2 linked regions of the Danio rerio genome follow. The protein of the gene in region 1 purifies or fractionates together with the protein of each later gene. This does not show direct contact. Links are inferred from orthologs where the notes say so. Each region holds a gene or a part of one and is shown in the gene's direction. Other genes may lie near its edges. The genes, in order: lrp6 and axin1.

Region 1 (3,831 bases):
AGCATCAGCATTGCATTATTAAAGTGTGTTCAGTATTATGAGACACCAGTGTTCTGCTCAGAGCCAGGACAATCAGCCGAGTCACGACAGCACAGCGCAGTACTCTGTACACAAGCGGATCAGCATGTGTTTTACACTAAACGCTGCTGTTATTCCAGCCGAACTGTAAGATCAGTGCGAATATCAGAGCTGGTGTGAGCTGAGAGAGCCCAGAGGAACACCACACTGCAGGAGGACAGGAGGAGTGCAGTGTCTTCAGCAGCTGATGGTGTGTGTGTGTGTGTGTGTGTGTGTGTGTCGCAGATACATGTACTGGACAGACTGGGGCGAGGTGCCGAAGATCGAGCGGGCGGCTCTGGACGGGTCGCAGCGGATGGTGATGGTCAACACTTCTCTGGGCTGGCCCAACGGCCTGGCGCTCGACTACAGCGAGAGGAAGATCTACTGGGGGGACGCCAAGACCGACGTCATCGAGGTCAGATCTCACACACACACACACACACACACACACACACACACAGCAGAGACGTGTCTTGCAGCTCGTATAAAGGCTCAGAATGGCTCTCCTTCAAGTGTCCTGACACGGCGCTGATGAGCAGGTGTGTGTTGTCCTGCAGGTGATGGAGATGGACGGTTCGGGCCGGCGGGTTCTGCTGGAGGATAACCTGCCGCATGTGTTCGGCTTCACGCTGCTGGGAGACTACATCTACTGGACGGACTGGCAGCGGCGCAGCATCGAGCGCGTGCACAAGCGCAGCACCGAGCGGGAGGTCATCATCGACCAGCTGCCCGACCTCATGGGCATCAAGGCCACGTTCGTCCACCAGACCTTCGGTAAGCTAATGCTAATGCTAATCCGCTACAGCGCATTACTGCATCACTCCACCTGTATTTGGAAAAGCCTCATTTCACGAGTCTCCCAGAGTTCAATGACTTCAGCCGGTCTCTTGTTTTAGCTTAGCTTAGCATAATGAGTAGAATCAGATTAGACCATTAGCATTTCATTTAAAGAGTTATTCATTCATATGTATAAGATGTGTTCTCTAGGCAAATATTAACAGGAACTATACTAAATACATAATAAAACATGTCGCAGCTGCACCAGGCGGAGGGATATTACACAGCAAAGGAGAACCGGCTACTTTTAGAGCGCTCCTGTTCTGTCAGATAACACAACAGATTTAGCATGATTGGATGTGTCAAACAAACCCTCTCCATTCAGAGAACACCGCTAATAACAGCTAATATCCCTTTATGAATCAGCAGTCGCCACAGCGGAATGAACCGCCAACTATTCCAGCATATTTTATACACAGCGGATGCCCTTCCAGGCGTTTGCCATTCCCCTATAGCGCATGTGTTTGGACTGTGGGGGAAACCGGAGCACCCGGAGGAAACCCACACCAACACGGGGAGAACATGCAAACTCCACACAGAAACACCAACTGACCCAGCCGAGACTCAAACCAGAGACCTTTTATAAACCATTTTTAAAATACTTGATTGTGTGTGTGTGTGTGTGTGTGTGTGTGTGTGCGCAGGGGTGAACCCGTGTGCGTGGGCTAATGGCGGCTGCAGTCACCTGTGCCTGTACCGGCCTCAGGGTGTGTCGTGTGCGTGTCCTATCGGCCTGGAGCTGATGGCGGATCTCAGCACCTGCATCGTCCCCGAGGCCTTCCTGCTGTTTTCCCGCCACACCGACATCAGACGCATCTCCCTGGAGACCAACAACAACAACGTGGCCATCCCACTGACCGGCGTCAAGGAGGCGTCCGCCCTCGACTTCGACATCACCGACAACCGCATATACTGGACCGACATCACACTGAAGGTCAGCGCACGCGCACACACACACACACACACACACACACACACACACACACACACACACACACGCACACACACACGACAACCACATATACTGGACCGACATCACACTGAAGGTCAGCGCGCGCACGCGCACACACACACACACACACACACACACACACACACACACACACACACACACACACGACAACCACATATACTGGACCGACATCACACTGAAGGTCAGCGCACACACACACACACACACACACACACGACAACCGCATATACTGGACCGACATCACACTGAAGGTCAGCGCACACACACACACACACACACACAACTAAACCAACACACTGCACACACACACAGAATTCTGTTGTTTATTGTGTAGTGCAGCGTGTGTGTGTGCAGTGTGTTGGTTTAGTTGTGTGTGTGTGTGTGTGTGTGTGCTTGTGTGTGTGCTCGTGTGTGTGTGTGTGTGTGTGTTGTTGATTGTGCAGTGTGTTGGTTTAGTTGTGTGTGTGTGTGTGTGTGTGTGTGTTGTTGATTGTGCAGTGTGTTGGTTTAGTTGTGTGTGTGTGTGTGTGTGTGTGTGTGTGTTGTTGATTGTGCAGTGTGTTGGTTTAGTTGTGTGTGTGTGTGTGTGTGTGTGTGTGTGTGTGTGTGGTGTTGTTGATTGTGCAGTGTGTTGGTTTAGTTGTGTGTGTGTGTGTGTGTGTGTGTGTGTGTGTTGTTGATTGTGCAGTTGTGTGTTTCAGACGATCAGTCGGGCCTTCATGAACGGCAGCTCTCTGGAGCATGTGGTGGAGTTCGGGCTGGATTACCCAGAAGGCATGGCGGTGGACTGGCTGGGCAAGAACCTGTACTGGGCTGACACGGGCACCAACCGCATCGAGGTGGCCAAGCTGGACGGGCAGCACCGGCAGGTGCTGGTGTGGAAGGATCTGGACAGCCCCCGCGCACTCGCCCTCGACCCCGCTGAAGGGTACGACTGACTCTGTGTGTGTGTGTGTGTGTGTGTGTGTGTGTGTGTGTGTGTGTGTGTGTATATGTGTGTGTGTGTGTGTGTGTGTGTGTGTGTGCTACTATTACTATATATAATAAAAGGTCTAATATCAGTGTGTGTGTGTGTGTGTGTGGCGTAGGTTCATGTACTGGACAGAGTGGGGCGGGCGGCCCAAGATAGACCGTGCAGCGATGGACGGGTCGGGCCGCATCACTCTGGTGCCGAACGTGGGCCGAGCGAACGGACTGACCATCGATTACGCTGAGCGACGGCTCTACTGGACTGACCTCGACACCACACTCATAGAGTCCTCCAACATGCTGGGTAACACACACGCACACACACACACACACACACACACACACACACACACACACACACACACACTCACTCATTGAATGTGTGCTGTCCCTGTGTTCAGTGTGATATTAGCATCTCAGCTTTATAATAAACACAACGCTGGATAATGAGTGTGTGTGTGTGTGCGCGTGTGTCTGCGTGTGTGTGTATGTGTGTGTGCAGGTCTGGAGCGCGAGGTGATCGCGGATGATCTCCCGCACCCGTTCGGCCTGACGCAGTATCAGGACTACATCTACTGGACGGACTGGAGCCAGCGCAGCATCGAGCGCGCCAACAAGACCAGCGGGCAGAACCGCACCGTCATTCAGGGCCACCTGGACTACGTGATGGACATCCTGGTGTTCCACTCGTCCCGGCAGAGCGGCTGGAACGCCTGCGCCGCCACCAACGGCCACTGCTCACACCTGTGCCTCGCCGTACCTGTGTGCAGCTTCACCTGCGGCTGCCCCGCCCACTACTCCCTCAACACCGACAACAAGACCTGCAGCGGTGAGTGTGTGTGTGTGTGTGTGTGTGTGTGTGCCCCGCCCACTACTGCATCAACACTGACGTCACACACTCATTGGCCTCAGTGTTGCTGGTGCAGCAGAGGGGCGGGGCTCTGGCTCGCTGTGGTTGGGTTGTGTGTGTGTTCTGGTTCTCCTACATGACT
Region 2 (3,831 bases), on another chromosome or scaffold:
TTGTTGAAAAAATGTGGCTAAATACTGATATTTTTAGACACATAGAAATAATAAACTTAATTACTTATTATGTATTGTGTGTACTTAATATATTTTATTTTTACTTTTTTTTTTTTTTTTTTTTGAATCTTGGCCTTTTGCAAAATACATATAAATGAACTGTCTAATCAAACGGAGCAATTATATGGCATGTCAATTGGCTAAATATGACCCATTTCCACTGAGTGCTACAGTTCTGTATGCTTTTATGTTCGTTTCCAATGTCAAAATACTATACCACTTTTGGCTACCCTTACCTTATCATTTTTTATCACATTCTCTAGATTTTTTTTATAGTAGTGCACAGTCCTGTGTTATGTTGTCAGTGTTGTTTGATGCAGCATCTTGGTCCTGGAGGAACTTGTTTCGTTTCACTGTGTGTACTGCACTGTATATTGTTAACAATAACACAGACTTGACTTGAAAAGGGTACCAAAAGATGGAGCGAGACGCGCAACTCAATGCTATTGGTTTATAGAGAAATGTTACTAGCGTGTGTAAGCCAGGAAAATTAAAACAAAGGAAGCATAATTTTTAAATAGCCAAGAAATTAAATCGTAATAATATATACAATTAATAACAAGCCATGGTCAACCCGAGCTCAAACACAGCTTGTTGTTGTCTAGATGAACAGCAGCAAAGCTAAGAGGAAGAGCAGAATCCTGTTGGTGTTTACGAGGCAGTCTAAAAGTGCGAGTGGTTTCAATGGAGAGCTCGTTGCGCGTCTATATTTGAATTAACTAACTTGAGCTCATAATAATAATAATAATAATGCGCGTGAAAGAAGTGAGCGAAGCACAAACATAGCGGTAAATGATTGTTTCAGCATCCTGAAAGATGAACAAACTGCCATGTTTAACTATTATCATCACCTCTTGGACTATTATGAACTCAGAATGACGAAATTTCTTTAACACAATGTTAATGTTAGATGTGCCGGTGAATATACGTTACAGTTGGCTAATTTGCATTTGATCTGCAGCCATAATCAAATCCTGTTCATTGAAAGGTAAGTAATTGGCACCGCGTCACCCAGAAATTGAATAATGAAATGTAAAATAATAACACAGTATAGTAGTCTGTAATGAAGAATCATTTTACTGAATTATTAATACAATGAAGAGCACAGTGGCGCAGTGGGAAGCACAATCGCCTCACAGCAAGAAGGTCGCTTATTTAAGCCCCTGCTGGGTGAGTTGGCATTTCTTTGTGGAGTTTGCATGCTCTCTCCATGTTTGTGTGGGTTTCCTCCGGGTGCTCCGGTTTCCCCCACAAGTCCAAAACATGTGGTATCCGTAGTGTATGTGTGAATGAGTGTGTATGGATGTTTCCCAGTGATAGATTGCAGCTGGAAGGGCATCCTTCTGCGTAAAACATAGGCTGGATAAGTTGGTGGTTCATTCTGCTGTGGTGACCCCAGATTATTAAAAGGTCTATGCCGAAAAGAAAATGAAATAATACATGAATAATACAGTGAAGTTACAAATATTATATGTTTTTGTTCTTGAATGCTTTAAACTATCTTGAAACATCTTTAAAACACATGGAAACGATAAGGTTTCACTCTATTATGGTTATCCTTTGCAGTGACTCTCAAGTATTCTCAATTATTGTACTGATCAACTGTATCTCAGTTCAACATTTCATATCCTGCGATGTGACTATTGCGGACCCACACATTGCGATATCGATGCTGAAACAATACAGTGTGCATCTCTAGTTTAGTGTAGTTTGCTGGTAATATCAAGGTCGGAAAGTGACAGAACTAATCATTAAAATATATGAAATCCCTTGATCCGGTTGCAAATCAGATGTTATTTATTTTCTCATTTTTCTAATTATAATGACCATTAAAAGCATATTTTGAGCATGAAGCGAAGTCTTGCATTGCTCATTTTTAGGGCATTGTGTGTTTTGAATGTAACCATAACAAAGCCCTTTCTTTCAGCAATAGCATAATCTTAAGACTCCTGTGAAAGGATGACATCTGCTGGTTTAACATTGTTACTACACACAGTGATTCTGCATCCCATTGTTTTCTGTAGTCCACTTGGTTCATTACTTTCTCCACAGTCATTATAATTAATATTTGGTTAAAATTTCAAAATAAAGCATTTGTTAAAATCTACCCTCTCACTGTTGTCTTGTAGGAAGAGGAAGGTGATGATGCAGACATCTCCACCGGTCCCTCTCTGGCCAATCACAGGATTCCTCCAGCGGTCCACGTTCAGCATTATGGTGGTCGCTACTCTGAAATGAGCTACAACGGGCTGCAGCTAAGGGACGCGCACGAGGAAAACCCCGAAAGCATCCTGGATGAGCATGTACAGCGGGTCATGAAAACTCCTGGCTGTCAATCTCCAGGCACCGGACGCCATTCTCCGAAGTCCCGCTCGCCAGATGGGCTGCCGGCGGGTAAGATTCCTGGGCTGATGATGCCGCTGTCTGGTGGCCAAGGCAAGCACCAGGCTCGGCAGGGCCCAAAGGGTGAGGCGGCGCACCTGCATCATCACAAACACATCCACCACACACACTATGCTGCGGCGGGAAAGCCCAAAGAGCAGGCGGAGGCAGAGGCTGCAAGGATGCATGGAGGATTCGCCTGGAACACGGAGCAACACCACTATGGACCCAAGTCACGCAACTATGCAGATGGAATGAGCGTCGGTCCCAACACCATGGACCCTATGGGTTACAGGTACATGTCTCAATCACTTATGTCAGCTATAAAGACAAATAATGATCCCAAATCCACTAAAATGCTGATCTGGTGCACAGGATGAATAGAAAGTTTGATAAATGTCTTCGCTGCCACCTTTGATGCAGCTTTTGAAAGATTTGAAAGAGGCCTATCCGCTTGTTAAGTGTGACGTCACGCGAAGCGGCTTCCGGTTCCAATCACTCTATTCAACTGAATAGGGAGACTCATGAAATGGTAATAATAAACGTTTACAAAGCGTTTTAAGGCTTTCGAAAATCACGATCGCAATATATGTCCATGCCTAATATCCGATGGCCAAAAGAGATAATTTTTTTTATAAATTGTTAAATTTTTGGTATTTGTTATGCAGCAAGCCCAAAGATTGTTGTGTACACTATGATTTTATATAAAATTAACTTTATTGTGTGATAGGAATAAAACGTGATCATAAACGAATGATTTCTCCACTCAAATGAATGGCGGCTTGGACCCGGAAACGGTATTACATACGTCACAAACACGTCACCACTTAACAAGCGGATATTAAAAAAATGTCATCACAAAAAGTCAACTCAATATTTTTATGCTGCTTAAACTTATTTAAGTAAGTCAATTACAAATGCAAAGTCTAACTTGCTGTTTTTAGATGAATCAAATAAACTTTTTTAGTTATCTCAACTTACATCAGCAGGGTGTCTGTCGAGTCTTAAAAAGTTAACAAAAATTGATAAATCTATTATAAAAAAATTAAGACCCTTTTAAGGTATAAAAACGTCTTAATCACGGTTTTACGAGGTCTTGAATTTTGTTCTAGTGTTGTCCAAAGGGTTTGACTCATAAAAAGCATAAATTTATTTATTTTACTCCTAATATTAACAAACGCGAGATGGTGTTGTGTCTCCACATATAGCAAAACAGACAGCAAAATATAAGTTTGCGTACTCCTGTTTGGAAAAAGATGAGTTTAAACAGTGGCTGAAGCCTGTTGCTTAAAACAACTACGTAATTTATTCTTTCAAGCTTTGTTTCTTCTGATCTTATCAGAGTTCTGTTGCATGGTTGTGCTCCATTGATTTATTTCACTACAACTG

What was found.
Region 2: the proteins of lrp6 (region 1) and axin1 purify together in Homo sapiens (affinity purification with western blotting; 7 studies listed by BioGRID and IntAct, with this or other methods). This does not show direct contact. The link is inferred for Danio rerio from reciprocal best matches to the Homo sapiens genes LRP6 and AXIN1.

The regions. Positions count from the first base shown.
Region 1 is NC_133179.1:164,048-167,878, forward strand, and holds part of lrp6 (low-density lipoprotein receptor-related protein 6 precursor), read left to right. Parts: intron 1-303; coding exon 304-475; intron 476-617; coding exon 618-834; intron 835-1,541; coding exon 1,542-1,831; intron 1,832-2,571; coding exon 2,572-2,798; intron 2,799-2,958; coding exon 2,959-3,143; intron 3,144-3,341; coding exon 3,342-3,668; intron 3,669-3,831. UniProt on the Homo sapiens protein: Component of the Wnt-Fzd-LRP5-LRP6 complex that triggers beta-catenin signaling through inducing aggregation of receptor-ligand complexes into ribosome-sized signalosomes.
Region 2 is NC_133178.1:42,662,446-42,666,276, reverse strand, and holds part of axin1 (axin-1), read left to right. Parts: intron 1-2,189; coding exon 2,190-2,737; intron 2,738-3,831. UniProt on the Homo sapiens protein: Component of the beta-catenin destruction complex required for regulating CTNNB1 levels through phosphorylation and ubiquitination, and modulating Wnt-signaling.